Linked DNA regions of Notamacropus eugenii. The protein of the gene in region 1 purifies or fractionates together with the protein of each later gene. This does not show direct contact. Links are inferred from orthologs where the notes say so. Each region holds a gene or a part of one and is shown in the gene's direction. Other genes may lie near its edges.

Region 1 (7,445 bases):
CACCAGCCTTTTAGTGATCTGAAAAAGAAAACATTGCAGTGGTCCTTCCCTCAGTTCCCAAACCACTCTGAACTTTCCAGCAGATCAAAGTTCAGAATTAGGAGAACAGCTGTGGGTTCTCCTCTTATAATGTATCCTCATTATGTTTGTAGTTACAGTGATTTAAATAATTTAAATTTATTGAGTGATGCAATAATTCTTACAAAATTTTATATCTTTAATGTTTTTAATATAAAATATACCCTCTTTGGCTGCAATTATTTGTTTTAGATGTTTTTGGACTGAGTTCACAAGATATTGACACATTCTCTAATTTAACAGGAAGTCACACTTTTATCACACTGGATTTTAAGCATAACTTTAACAAATAGCTCATTTCCCCAAATCTAATCTTGATTACTGCTTATAGGGTTTTTTAAAATTTTATCTTCATCTCTGAATTCTCTCCCTCCTACACCCTGCCCCCCAATTCTTGCATTGATTGAAAAAGCAAGAAAAATAAAACCTGTCACAAACCATAGTCAAACTAATAAGTTTTCAATAAGTCAGTTCCAGGTCACTGAAACATGTTTATCTCTGTCTTAGATAAATCCTTATCCTTTTGTGACATATATACAAGGTAAGTTTTCCTAATACTTCTGGAACAATTCAGCTTCTCAGTATAATATAGTTGCCAGCATTCATCATTCCTACATTGGGGATAAGAATTTCACTCCTGATGAAGTAAAAAGATTTCCAAAATATTTTTTTGGAGGAATGGATGGTTTAACAGTTTGATGAAGATGCACGTGTTTTACAGGTTTATCTGGACTTCTGGTATAAAACTTTGAATGAAAAAGATGAGTTTCATAAGAAAAAAACATTACCTTTTCCTAATCTTCATCTGTCTTTGTATTATCTTGCCCACCATAAGCAGTTTTTAATTCATAACAATAATTAGCAACTTTTTTTTTTTTTGCTTTTCTTCCAACTTTCAAAAGCTTATGCCACGTTGTAAAGGAATCAGTAAAAGCTCCCAAACCCGGGGTTCTCTGAAGGTCTGTGCTTATCTTCTGGGAATTAATCAGGCTATTTTGTAGTAATATTTTGTCAGTTCTCTGTGTTGTTTTCCTCTTTTTTTTTTTTTAAACCAGTGCAACTGATCCTGTTTCATTGGGACAGCTAGGTGGTGCAGTGGATAGAGCACCAGTGCAGGAGTAGTTCAAATTTCACCTCAGACACTTGACACTCACTAGCTGTGTGACCTTGGGCAAGTCACTTAACCCCAACTGCCTCATCCTGGGTCATCTCCAGTCATCCTGATGAATATCTGGTCACTGGATTCAGATGGCTCTGGAGGAGAAGTGAGGCTGGTGACCTGCACAGCCCTCCCTCCCTTTAAACAAAGTCCAATGCAAGTCCTGTCACCATGTCTCTGATGGCCTGGACGAACACACACCACCCTGTTTCACTGGGACTTGAATGACCATTGAAACATGATTTCCCCACACAAATAGTGGCTGAGTACTTCTAAGAGTCACTGAAGCGTGCTTTTTAAGAACTACAACTTTTGCACGTTCTCACTGAAAACCACCACAACATAGAATCAAAAGCACAACGAGAGTCATGAATACGGGTATGGGGCACCAAATCCAGCACCCAACCCACGAGAAGTGGGGGGGGGGGGTCAACATCCGAAGCTGTTAAGTCAGCCTGGCGCAAATACGCAGCTCCACGGGTCGCAGGCCATATTACACCCTCCCAAGAGAACGGGAGCTCCTTAGGCGCAGGGCTAGTCTCTTTTGTCTTTAGACCACGACCAAGTATATACAGCCTTGAACGTGGGCCGAACTGAAATGAGGTCCTCGCCCTTTAACGCACCAACCCCCTCCACTTACCTTAGGAGGACTGCTTCATAATTCATGAGACGAAGATCCTCCTTCCCTCAACCAGAAGTCCCGCCCCCACGCGCCAAATGCCCCCTAGGGATAGTGAGTTCATTTCTGCCCTTACTTACCCCCGCTAGTTCCGGTTCACGTCACGTTCACCTCTGACCATTGAAATGTTGCCCTTCGACGAAGCCACTTCCGCCCTCATTCATCCCGACTTCCGCCTCGGGGGTGTCCGTCTCCCCAGGTGCCCGTACTACCAGAATCGCTCTAGTCGCTCCCGGAAGTGACTGGGCCTTTGCACCCTCCCCTCCTTCTCCTCCCACCCCAGTTCCCTCCTTTCCCCACCCCTCCTTCGTTTCCGGTGTTCCCGCCTTCTCGCCGCAGCGGCTCCTCTCCAGGCCTGTGGGGGGAGGGGGGAGGGAGGGGGGTGGGGAGGGGAGGAATCTGGGTTCTTCAGTGCAGGAGCGCCAGCAGCACTTCCGGGTGAGTGGAGAGGAGGGGGGGCGCCCAGTGCCTCGCGCCCCCGCCCTGCGGGTGTGTGGAGCGGGGCGTGTGTATGTGTGTGTGTGTGTGTGTGTGTGTGTGTGTGTGGTGTGTGTGTCCGTCCGTCCGTGAGTACACACGCCTCCGGGGTGGGGGGCAGGAGGGTCCGTCAGTCCGCCCAGCGCCCCGAGTGCGCGCGCTCTCTCGAGCTCCACTTCCCCTCATCCCATTTCCCTCCCCCCCACCCCTCTGCCTCCTCCCGGCAAAAGGCACGCGCCGCCCCCTCCCGAGCCGCTCTCTGACTCTCGCGCCGCCGCTGCTGCTGCTGCAGCCGCTGGAGCCGGGTGAGTCTCGCGGCGCCGCCGCCGCCGCTGCCGGCGCGCTCCGTGTGCCCTCCTCCCTGTCCCGAAGGGGGTGGGGGGGCTCTGTGTGTGCCTCTCCCCCCCTCCCGGAACCGGAAGTGGTTGTGGAGTAGCGGGCGCAGGGGTGGGGGGCGGGGGGAATGGTGGGAGTGGGGGTGTAGGGGGTGGGTTTCTGGTGGGTGTTGGAGCTGGGCTCTTGGAGGGGAGGGATCCGATGTCCCAGAAGGGCTCAGAGGAAGGGGGCGTGAGCAAGTGGGGGGAGACTCTTAGCTGCTGCCTAGGGGGAAGAAGGGGTGTAGCAGAGCAGAGGGGGCCCTGTGGGGGGGAGGGGCTGAGGTTGGAGCCGGAGGGGCTTCCTGGAATGGGGCCCTTGACAGATGAGGGGCAAAGTCCTCCCAGGGGCTTGGGGTGGGGGGGAATGGCCCGTGGGAGTGGCTAGGCCTGCACTAGGCATTCTGCCTCCTGGCACGAGAACTTGGGGAGCCCCCATCCTAGTTGTCCCCAGATTTGTCTTCTGTCCTCACAGGTGGGAGGTGACCAGACTGTCCCCTTTCCCCCTCCTTCCCAACCTCCTTTTTTCCTGGCTTCTGCCCCTTGGGTGCCTGTGAGAAGGAATTGAGTGTCCAAGCTTTGCTCTTGTGGGGTGCGTGTGTGGGGGTGCCTTTCACCTCATGCTGAAATGGTGAAGATAGTTCAACTTCTTTAGTAGGGATTAAATCCTTTTCCTAGTGACCAAATTCCTGTGCTTGTAACCTTCCCTCTCTTGGGTTAGAGGCAGGAATTTTGCTTTCCCTCCAGACTGACAGCTGACAGATTGGAAATCCTCAGAGGTCCCGACATCTCATTAATTACATCCTTTTTGACCATTCTAACACAGACACTTTGTTTTCAGAAAGTTCGGGAGCCTTGAGGAGGAGGAGGAGGAATAGGACAGAAGGAGGAGGAGAGAGAGGGTAAGAAACCTTTAACATAAAGAGGGGAAGAGAAGGTCATTTTACCCATATTGAATGTTTTTCTTTAGGTAACAAGTTAATAATGCCTTTTGTTGTTGCACGACACTTTATACGAAGTGTCCGCCTGTAGTAGATCAGTTTAGAACTTCCTCCAGTTTTGAAAATGGTATTCAGACTAGCTTTTGGAGATTCTCACTATGTTGGTCTGGGTGGCTCTTTTAGGCTGTTCATCAAGAGACTAGTTAGGGTTGGGAGCCCCAAGTTAAACCACCTCTGATAGTCACAGTGCCATTTAAAGAGATGCTATTTGTGTTCCCATGTGGCATTGCTCAGCAGTGATTTCCTGCTATTGGAGTGAGCACAGCTTAAAGTGAGCTTCTTTCCTTTGCTCTTAGGAGTGCGGAGGTTTAGGGTAAATCTTCTGATTGAGAGATTCTAGTAGTTAGTGTGTGTCACTAGAGAGTTTTAATTTGGGGACGCAGACAACATCAGATTCTGAGAGTTCAGAGTTGGGGCTCAGTTTGAAAGAAATTGAGAATTGAATTTGCTTGAGAGTTAGGTTTGGAATTTAATATAGAGCTAGCCAAAAAAAGATTCTTTCATAGTGAAAGAATTGTACGATTCTTTTTTATAATTGTTAGATTGTAAGACCGACAGGTAGAAAGAAGCAGTGTTCTGAGATACCTTGGTAGAGTAAGCTAGTGACTATTTTGTGGTAAAGCTAAACAAGACGTGTTTTTACAAACAGAAAGAAATTTGAATACATAGCATCCATTACTGTAAGGTAACTACTGTGAACTAAGTTTAGGGCAGTATGGAGTGAGCTTTTTTCTTTGCTCTTAGGAGTGTAGAGGTTTAGGGTAAATCTTCTGATTGAGAGATTCTAGTAACCCGTGTGTGTCACTAGAGAATTGTAATTTGGGGACCCAGGCAACATCAGATGCTGAGAGTTCAGAGTTGGGGCTCAGTAAGGCTTACTTTCCTTAGGACCCTGAGTTAACAATGACTTAAGTTTGGGCTTTGTCTCTGTCAGAGATAAGTTTTCTCCCCACGGCCATTACTGACCTGTTTTCTAGAGACCCCAGACTTTCCAGGACCCAATTTCCCTTTTCCATATGTGCCTTACCATTATTCTTAGTGAGAATGCCAGCACAAGGAGAAACTATTTTGAAAGATACCTCTACTAATTTAGAATCCTGAGGATGCTGGACCAGGAACTGCTATTCTAGATGGCAGGCTGTTTGTTGGGAATAGTCCTTTTGTTTTGTTTGGACATGAACAGTGGTTCCTGTTCAACAGAGTAGGGACAGTTTTTGAGACATACATGAAAAATTCCTTCAATTCCATTTGCTTATTTGACTGTTCTTTGTAGTTCCTTGTGTGCTTGATGGCACTGAACTGAAGTGTATAGGCAGAAGCTCAAGCCTTATTTCTCTCTGTATGACTTCTCAGTTTATGTGGTCTCTAGCCATTAGTCTTTTTATAGCCCCCCAAACTCACTTGGTTCTTACATTCCCATTAGTTCCCTCTATTGCTCTTCTGCTGGGGTGGGGAGAACAAAACCAAAAAACTTTTATCCTTGCTGACATATGTCTTAGCATCTTTTCTTCACAGGAGTTTTCCAAGCATGTTAAAGCCATATGTTGAAATAAGAAGGTATAAATCTAGAACTCAAAATTATTTTCTCATTCTCTTCTATCAAGTGGGCTGGGTTAAGGAAAATATTCCCCAATACTTAGCAGTGGACTTTGTCCATACCAGATGCTTAATAAGTGGTTGTTGAGTGGATTGATGAATAAGGGTTTCTTTCTAAAAACTATATAAAAGGATTGTGTCTTCTTTGGGAAAAGAAATTGAGACTCTAATAATGTGTGACTGTTATTTCTAGTGGGGAAATCAAGGGAGAGGGTCTCTCTACTTAGACTTTTGTGATAGGGTGATACTCTGGTGGCACTAGCATCATCATTTTATTTATCCCTTAGTAGCAGTATGGTAGGTTAGAATTCTGAGTTCTTGTTTGTGTGTGACCTCAGACAAATTACTTATCTCTCTGCTTCGATTTCCCCCACTTCTGAAGTGTAGTGTAAATTTCCCCAGATCCTTTGCTTCTGGATCTTTTGAGGATTAGTGAAGTAATATGTGTGTGTATGTAGCTCTTTGAGCCTTTTAAAAGAAAAATGCTGTTTAAATTCAAGGCTGTAGTAATGTTAAAATGTATAATTCTCTTCCTTCTTAATGATGATGTAGTTGATGCCTAAAGAGAGCCTTCTCCAAGGCCTTGCAATGAAGAATTTGTCAATAGATTCCAGATTTTCTGATTCCAAGCTTCTTAAAAGTCCTTAAAATTCATTTAGCATAGTAAGATGCTCAATACATATTAGTTGATTGATTGGTATAGTTTTGTACTGTCATCTCGCTTTGACGTTATAAGCTTCCCTGTGTCTCCCTGGACTAGTATAAGACCCTTAAGTTATTATTGACGACAATAGTACAGCAGAAGAGCCAACTTTCTTTGGTTTGGAGCCAACTATTTGTGGGTAGTTTAGGGGCTGTGTATCTTTTCCTCAGTATTGCATATTAGTATGTATCTTTGATATGACGGCTTTGAGAAGGATGGTGATGTGTAAGAGGTGGTGAGGTGGAATATAATAAGTAATAGGAGAAATAATATTGCATCTCTTGCTATGACTTTTGGGTGTTTTAAAGAGTGGTCTTTTCTGGTGAATCTGTCTTCAGCTTTCATTCCTCCTCTTTTTATTTATTCCTTTTCTTTTTATTTAGTGATTTTGTTGGTAAAACCAAAAAAAAAAACGTTAGAGGATTAGCACATTTGTCATCCTTTCCTCCCCCCTAAAAAAAATATTATTTGTGATCCTTAGATGCCTTTGCAGGGAGAAGATGGTGGTTTGCCTGAAAGCTGACCACCACTGGCAGTCTACCAGTCACCATTTCTTATCTTGTCCCCAGACCTTTTACAGGCTCATTCTTTCTTAAGAGTTAGAGAAGAAAACCAGGCAGATGAATATGTAGAAGTTCCTTTTTTCCATTATAGAATAAGGCTCCATCATTTTAAAATCCATTTACCTTGGTGGCCAAGACAGGATTTAAAAAAATAAGACAAGCTGCATTTACTCTCCAAAAGACTCGTTATGTCTCCACCTAGTAAATGAGAGTACCAGTGATACCACTAGAGAGCCATTCTCAGGGTTCAAAACTCCCTGAATTGGATTGAATTGTTTTTGTTGCTTTTGTTCATCTTCAGGCATCCCTCTCTTTAGGTCCCTCTGTCTTCTATTATAGTGTAGTGTTCTTGTCAATAAGGTATATCCCTATCTCCATTTCAAAAGAAATTAGAGCGTGCCTTGATTGCTTTTTTAGGATTTACAAAGTATTCCCTCATAACAACTCTTTGAGGTAGGTAGTACAAGTGTTAGTTTCCTCATTTTGCAGATGGGGAAACTGGAGATAATGATTTACCCATGGTCCTTCAGCAAAGAGTATAAATGGCATTTGAACCCTGGTCTCTTGGCTTCAAGTCCAGTCTTCTTTTGTATATTAGAGGAAAAATGTATAGTAAGTACAGTGAATCCCTTTTAGCTTCTTCAGACCTAACTTCTGATTCCTAGTAGCTATCAATAATTTTATTTCTATGCATTTTCCCTACCACCCTGGAAATTGTACAGCAGGATGTTGCAGGTGGTAGGTCTGAGCTTTAACACTGTTTTAGGAGTGTGTTTGTGTGTGTGTGTGTGTGTGTGTGTGTGTGTGTGTGTGTG
Region 2 (7,298 bases), on another chromosome or scaffold:
GTTGATGCCTCGAGTTAGGTTCATTTTCCGAGAATGAATCTTCAAGATATCCAATCGTGCCTGTAGTGGTAGAGAGGAGAGGGAAGCCTTGAGCACCACACTCCCCTCCTCTTAGGCAGCTACACTTTCCCCTGAGTGCTCTCTACCACCAACCTCCTCATTAGGGGGCGGAAACTCAATCTTCCTGTCAATTCTACCAGGGCGAAGTAGAGCAGAGTCCAGGATGTCAATTCTGTTGGTGGCCATGATAACCTGTGAGAAAAAAGAGGGCTTGTCAGCTGTCTTTATTCTCTTTTGCAGGCTAGGTTCTACCCTTTTCTTCTTCTCTACCTGCTCCAACCAGAGTCCTTCCCACCTTGATGTTTTTAGTGGCTTCAAAGCCATCCAGCTGGTTGAGCAGTTCTAGCATTGTTCGCTGTACTTCACTGTCTCCCCCAGAACCACCTTCTAGGCGTGAAGAACCAATGGAGTCAATCTCATCCATGAAGATGATGGAGGGGGCATGTTCTCGGGCCATAACAAACAATTCCCGTACCATTCTTGCCCCTGAAAAACATAGGACGTGTCAAAAGCTGAGTACGAAACTGGGGGAAGGATTCTGGTTGGCCCCGCACCTCATCTAACCCATGGTTACCTCATGACTTTATCTTCCCCTACCATGCTCACCTTCACCAATGAATTTCTGTACCAGTTCTGAGCCAGAGACACGAATAAAGGTGCAATCAGTGTGATGAGCCACAGCCCGAGCCAAGAGAGTTTTGCCAGTTCCTGGAGGTCCATACAGCAACACACCCTAGGGTAGGGTATGCGAAACTCAGTCCTCTCATAGTAAATTCCACCTCTATTCTCTCATATCCCAATTAATGTCTTTCAGGCACAACTGCCTCTGACCTCTTTGTGACTTAACATTGGTATCTGGTGCAGGGCATGGATGAGAACCTCCCATTTGGCTCCCACAGTAAATCCTACCCCTCACCTTGGGCTGTGCAATGCCTAGTGCTTCAAAGAGCTCAGGATGCTTAACAGGCAGTTCAATCACTTCTTTGATCTCCTTGATCTGCTTGTCTAGGCCACCAATCATCTCATAGGTTGAATCAGGCACTTTTTCCACCATCATCAAAGATACCAATGGATCTACTTTGTTGGGCAGAATTTTGTGCAGGGTGTAGCTGTCATTTCGAAGAGCCACACGGCAATTGGGTGTCACCTGGTTATGGTGGATGATTTTAGAAAACATCACTACAATACAGCACACAGGTTCCAGCCCCTTACCCCCTTTATTCCTTGCTACACTTACATCATTGATGTCGATGTTCTTATCTACATCAACCACAAACTTCCCTTCAGGATGTACCTAGAGGGAGGAGTTTATTAGCTTTCCAAGTGGCATCAGTCTCCATCCCAGGTACCAAGTCATACAACCAAGGAAAAGTCAAGGAACATTAAAAGAATATGTATCAACCAATAAGATGCAACACTGTCCCCTCCCAAGGGTCCATTTAAGGGGTAACAAATATAGCAAATAAACCTGTTTCAGTCCCTGGGGTCAAACTCTGTACCTTGACCAAAACTTTCTTTTTATCCATAGCTCGGACCACTTCCCCCACATAGGACCCCTGCTCCTGCAACAGCTGCAGCTCCTCCCGTAGCAGGCGCACTGTATGAGAAGCAAATATGAGCAGTTTTGTTTCTTTTAATTTTGCAACGTTTTGCTAAATAGCTCAACAAACTACCTGATTACCATTCCAGCCCAGTAATTCAAATAATTCAAGCACTGTTGTGAAGCATAAAATATTTTGATCTTTAAATGTTTTCAATATATTTAGAAATGTAAATAATGCTAATCCAATCATAATGCTTCTGTTCAATTGTTTTGGTTGTGGCCAACTAGTGGTAACCCCACTTAGGGTTTTCTTGGCAAAGACACTGGAGCTATTTGCCATTTCCTTCTCCAGCTCATCTTACAGTGAAGGAAATTGAGGCAAACAAGGTTAAGTGATTTGCTCAGGGTCATACAGTACTAAGTGTCTGAGACCAGATGTGAACTCAGGAAAATGAGTTTTTCTGACTCCAAGCTTGGCACTCTATCAACTGCACCACACAACCGCTCAATCACATGCTAGTTTGTATTACTATTTGAAATGTAGCAAGGGAGGGTACCACCCAGAAAGTCAAAACAGAAGCCAGAATCTATGAATCCCAGTCATTATGCTGGGCTCCCACCTTTTGCATTTAGCTCATTTCTTTGTGCTTGCAAACGACGTAGATTTTGGCTCTTGTCATTCACGATCAGCTGAAGTGGGCAGAAGATAACAAGTATAATGTATAGGCAAGTAGCTAAAAAAAAAAAAATTTCCTGGCCAAATTTCCTAAATGTGATTATGAAAAGGGACAAGGTCTGCTATACCTGGTTTCAGATTCTAGCAAACAGATCACATCCACCCTGTTCTATGCCTCAAAAAGTCCTGCCATGATTCAAAAAGGTCCAAAGAAGAAGCTAATTCTAGCCTAGATATTACATGCCCTCACAAAGAGAGCTTCAAAATTCTGGGGGACCTTTATTTTTTTTATTAAAGCCCAGGTCAGTTATTCACTACAACAATGGAGTTTGTAACACAGACCAGACAGCTGCTAACCCTACCTCTTACAGCTACATACTTTATTTTTCCTACAAAAACTTTAAAGCCCCCACCGAAGCTTGTGAAAATATCCTTCACTACGTCTTCATTCCACCCAGTTTCTACTCTTAGACCTCTAAAATTAGAATTCTGGGTTTTCTGTCTTCCTTGAGCTCAGGCCCAAGCAACAGGTGTCTTCCCAGCATTTGTCACGCGGAAGGTTCCCAAGCTTCTTCATCTCACTTATTTTTTTTCAACCCAACCCCCTCCCTATGTGGCCAGCCCAACTTTCCATGCCTTCCCTCCCTCCCTAAGGGGGGGTCCTTGGAGACTGATTTCTTTCCCCTCCTCCCAATCTGACCCCCACTCCCATAACACCCGGGCTCTCCCTCCCCCCTCCATCCCATGGCCTCCCGGAGTGACGCTGACAGAGATTCCTCCCGGAACCTTCAAGCCCTCCTCGTCCCTTGCCCCGCGTCTCACCTGAAGTTCCTCGATCTTGGACAGGTAATACTGCCGCAGCCCACTCCCGGCCTTGCCCTCCTCCAACTCCATCTGCTGAAGAAACGTTATCAGATAACATTCTGGGGGGTGCCTACGGCACAGAGACCCGTGAGGCTGGCACAGCTCCCTGCCCGCCAGGAGCCTGCCATCAACGCGGGCGTGAAAGCGACACGCACCCGCACGAACACCAATCACGCGCGGGGCACGAGGGCGGCCCCGCCCCGTGCGATCTGGGCTCGGGGCCGCATCCCCGGCCCCTGACCCGGCCGGGGCGGCGCTGACAAAGCACGTCGGCCTGTGGGGTAGCACCGGCCCTAGCTGAAGCTCGGCCCCCGCCTCCATCGGATCCAAACCTGGGTTCGGTTTGTCCCCCGCCCAGATATGACTTCCAAACCCCATCTGTCCCCGCAATTTCCCTGCCCGGGCCCCGCCGCAACCTTCCTACCTGCTCCGGTCCGTCCAGCGCCATCTTCCTTCCTCAGATCCGGATGCCGGCATCCAAGTGAGTTCTGGGCGCAAGCGCAAAAGGGCGGGAGCCGCCGCGGTCCGCGATTAAACTTCCGGGTCAAGCGACGCGACTCTCAAGAATGATCGCTGGTAGAGGCCATGTTGGGAAGGTCGGAACTCCACGTCTGGCCATTTCGGAGAGCGAAGAGAGGAAATGACCCGAAAATGCCCCTCCCAGACACTCCCTCGACAATTGGCTCCTACTGCTCCCTCACCCGCTCGCTGGGTCTTAGGTTTACTTGTATGGGAATCCAGGGCGGAGCTCTTGGGGACGTCACTTCCTGCCTCTGACTTCCACGGCAGTAAAGGGCTTGGATTAGATCACCGTGAACGTCCCGCCCTATGGGAAAGTCCAAACCGTCCTATCAAAACCACCTCAAAAATCTTTCTCTACAGACTCAAGATGGCTGAAGGGGCGGAGTCATCTCCGTAAGAGCGAAGGCGACGGAAGAGGGAGGGAGCGCATCCCCAGCCTACACGTGCCCCCGAAAGTTGGGCCGGAGGTTCTGGTGGGCCTCCGCGCGTGCGGCGGAGACTTCTCCCCGGCCAGAGTGAGGGCACACCTCCCCGCGGCGCCATGGGAAAGAAGGGCAAAGTCGGGAAGAGCCGGCGGGACAAGTTCTACCACCTGGCCAAGGAGACCGGTGAGTCGCGAGGACCCCGCGGGCCCTCCGTCCGGGCCTCCGTCGTCCGGGCCTCCGTCGTCCGGGCCCCCGGCCCCGCTCACTCGGCCCCTCTCCTCCCGCAGGCTTCCGTTCCCGCTCCGCGTTCAAGCTGATCCAGCTGAACCGCCGCTTCCAGTTCTTGCAGAAAGCCCGGGCCCTGCTGGACCTGTGCGCGGCGCCCGGGGGATGGTGCGTGCCCGCGGCCCCTTCCTCGGCCTTCCTTCCGTCCACCCCCACCCGCCGCGCTCACGCCGGGCATTTCCTAGGGCGCTGGTTCTTTTTATCTGCCCCTCCCCGCGCCCAGCCCCCGCCGCGGGACTGACAGGTTACAACGCCCCTCCTCCCCCTTCACCATCCCCCCCCGCCCCCACAGACACGCACCCAGGGGACAGAAGCGGGCTCCTTCGTGCTGGAGGAACTTCCCAGCGTCATCTCCTCGCTCTCTTTAACTCCCCAGGCTGCAGGTGGCTTCCAAGTTCATGCCAGTGTCCAGCCTCATTGTGGGTGAGTGTACCGTGTGGCCCCCCGCTGCGTGGGCTGGGGAGTTTGGGGTCCCACCCGCATCCCCCGTCGTAGCTGGGATCTCACCCTGCGTGTTTTTTCTAGGAGTGGACCTGGTTCCCATCAAGCCCATTCCCAACGTGGTTACGCTGCAAGAGGACATCACAACCGAAAGATGCCGCCAGGTCAGCCTTTGCCCCTCGCTCCTTTGGGGAGTCCTTGCCATGGGAGTGAGAGCTTTGGCCGCGTGAAGGAAGAAGCATCTGCTAAGCACTTGCACTGTGCCAGGCACCAGGGATATAGATACGTACAGAAGATGATCCTGGTGGTGGCATAAAGGAGACTCATTCCGGAGTTTGGGTTCTGAGTGAGGGTAACAGAGAGGGCCAAGTGACGAATGGCTGGAGCCCTCAGGCCAGACCACAGTGGGGGACGCATTTGTGAGGGGCATGAAATGGCTTCTGGTAGGGGCAGGGGGAACTAGGGATTGGGGTGGGCACAGGTGGTGAGTGAGTGGGGGTTGGAGCCAGGTGTGTGTGTTCAGTGTTAAGGATGGGATTTGTCATCATGGATTTTTTCACTTGAGAGAAATGCAAGTACGTAAGCGGGAGAAGACTTGGGACCCTGTTTTACCCATGGTGTAACGTCCAGTGTGGTTGTGCTGTTTATACAAGGCTAGTTGTGTTGTCCTTGACTTTTGTCATTCTCCATTTTCATGTCCATCATGTGTTTCTTGGTTTAAGTGAAAACATGTATCCAGCCCTTGAAAGGGGCTACACCATAGGGAAGATCTAGAGTTTGGTAAGGAGGTGTGACTTTCTGTTTGCCTTTTCCAGGCTCTCAAGAAGGAGCTGAAGACTTGGAAGGTTGATGTTGTGCTCAATGATGGGGCCCCTAATGTAGGGGCTAGCTGGGTCCATGATGCCTACTCACAAGGTACCTAAGGAGATTTGGGGCTGGGACTATTCACAGATAGTGAACACTCTAGCTGACGAGTCTTGATTCCCCTCAGCCCACCTGACCTTGATGGCACTCCGTCTGGCTTGTGATTTTCTTGCACGTGGTGGCTGCTTTATTACTAAGGTTTTTCGCTCTCGTGACTACCAGCCCCTTCTCTGGATTTTCCAGCAGTTGTTTCGCCACGTCCAGGCCACTAAGCCCCAGGCCTCCCGTCAGGAATCGGCAGAAATCTTTGTGGTCTGTCAGGGTGAGTTGTCTTTTATCCCTGTATATTCTACTCCTAAGGCCTCTTTTTTTTCCCCTTTAAAGCCTGTTCTTATCTTTTCCCTTTTCTCTATACGCTTCTCTTCCAGGTTTCCTGGCTCCTGATAAGATTGACAGTAAATTCTTTGACCCCAAATTTGCCTTTAAAGAGGTTGAAGTTCAGGCCAAGACTGTGAGTGAATTGGTAACCAAGAAAAAGCCCAAGGTATGTATGTGAAAGAGAAGTGCACATACCCTGAAATCTCTGAGAATCATTGAAAACACCTCAAAGGGGACTCCCCTGTCTGTTCTGTGTTTCTTTCCTGGTCCCTAGGCTGAAGGCTATGCTGAAGGGGACCTCACCCTCTATCATCGGGTCTCCCTTACTGACTTTCTCCAAGCAGCCAACCCTGTTGACTTCCTCTCCAAAGCTAGTGAGGTGAGTGTCCAGAATTAAAGAGACTTGTGGAAGAGTCTCCCTGACCCAACTAGGAAGTTTAGTCCTTTCTAATGATTCTCCTTCCTTGCTGAGCAGATCATACTAGATGATAAGGAATTGGAACAGCATCCAGCTACTAGTGAGGACGTCAAGGTGTGCTGCCAGGACATCAAAGTACTGGGTCGAAAGGAGCTCAGGTACTGGGGCGAACATCTCAAATCATGAGACTGAGAGGGACCTTGGGCAAGCCTGAGTGTGTATGAGACAGAGTAAGGCCCAAGGAGACTTGAGGAGCAAGTGGTAACTGGTACCTTTCTTGTAACAGGAAACCTTTGTCCCAGAAATTCGGGTTTGGGACAAAGCATTGATTTTCACTTATTTTGTGATCTTGGTATCTGAATGTAGCTCTGATGCCCTCAATGAAACATTTAATGATGATAGAGTAGGGTGGTCAGTAACAGGGCTTTTGGAACAGGTCCCTGCTGAATTGGAGGACAAAGCTTCGTCGGTTTGTGGCCAAGAAGCTAAAAGATCAAGCAAAGGCACTGGACATCAGGTAAGCTGAGGATCAAGGCAGAGCATAAAATTTGAGGAACATTGGAAGAGGGCTAATGACATTGACTGTGCCTTCATTTATCTGTTTTACCTCCATTCCAGTCTTAGTTCTGGAGAGGAGGAGGAGGAGGAGGAAGAAGAAGGAGGAAAAAAGACAGCAGCTGCTGCTGAGGATGATGAGGAAGATTTGGATAGGGCTCTTGCAGAAATGAAAGCCCAGGAGGTAGCAGAGCTGAAAAGGTGAGAGAGAAGGGTTTGGTAACAGAGCTAGGGCCTTATAAGTAGGGAAGGAAGAGAGCAATCCCA

What was found.
Region 2: the proteins of NOP2 (region 1) and FTSJ3 fractionate together in Homo sapiens (co-fractionation; 3 studies listed by BioGRID and IntAct, with this or other methods). This does not show direct contact. The link is inferred for Notamacropus eugenii from reciprocal best matches to the Homo sapiens genes NOP2 and FTSJ3.

Annotation. Positions count from the first base shown.
Region 1 is NC_092874.1:194,961,311-194,968,755, reverse strand, and holds the start of NOP2 (28S rRNA (cytosine(4447)-C(5))-methyltransferase), read left to right. Parts: upstream 1-4,321; 5' UTR 4,322-4,357; exon of another isoform or gene 4,358-4,384; intron 4,385-7,445. UniProt on the Homo sapiens protein: S-adenosyl-L-methionine-dependent methyltransferase that specifically methylates the C(5) position of cytosine 4447 in 28S rRNA. Required for efficient rRNA processing and 60S ribosomal subunit biogenesis.
Region 2 is NC_092873.1:343,826,611-343,833,908, forward strand, and holds the start of FTSJ3 (pre-rRNA 2'-O-ribose RNA methyltransferase FTSJ3), read left to right. Parts: upstream 1-4,139; 5' UTR 4,140-4,206; coding exon 4,207-4,273; intron 4,274-4,377; coding exon 4,378-4,483; intron 4,484-4,751; coding exon 4,752-4,798; intron 4,799-4,900; coding exon 4,901-4,980; intron 4,981-5,631; coding exon 5,632-5,731; intron 5,732-5,807; coding exon 5,808-6,002; intron 6,003-6,108; coding exon 6,109-6,224; intron 6,225-6,332; coding exon 6,333-6,437; intron 6,438-6,533; coding exon 6,534-6,634; intron 6,635-6,912; coding exon 6,913-6,993; intron 6,994-7,094; coding exon 7,095-7,232; intron 7,233-7,298. Other genes in the region: PSMC5 (26S proteasome regulatory subunit 8), read right to left, coding at 1-60, 154-252, 356-546, 667-793, 977-1,207, 1,298-1,354, 1,560-1,657, 2,224-2,293 and 2 more.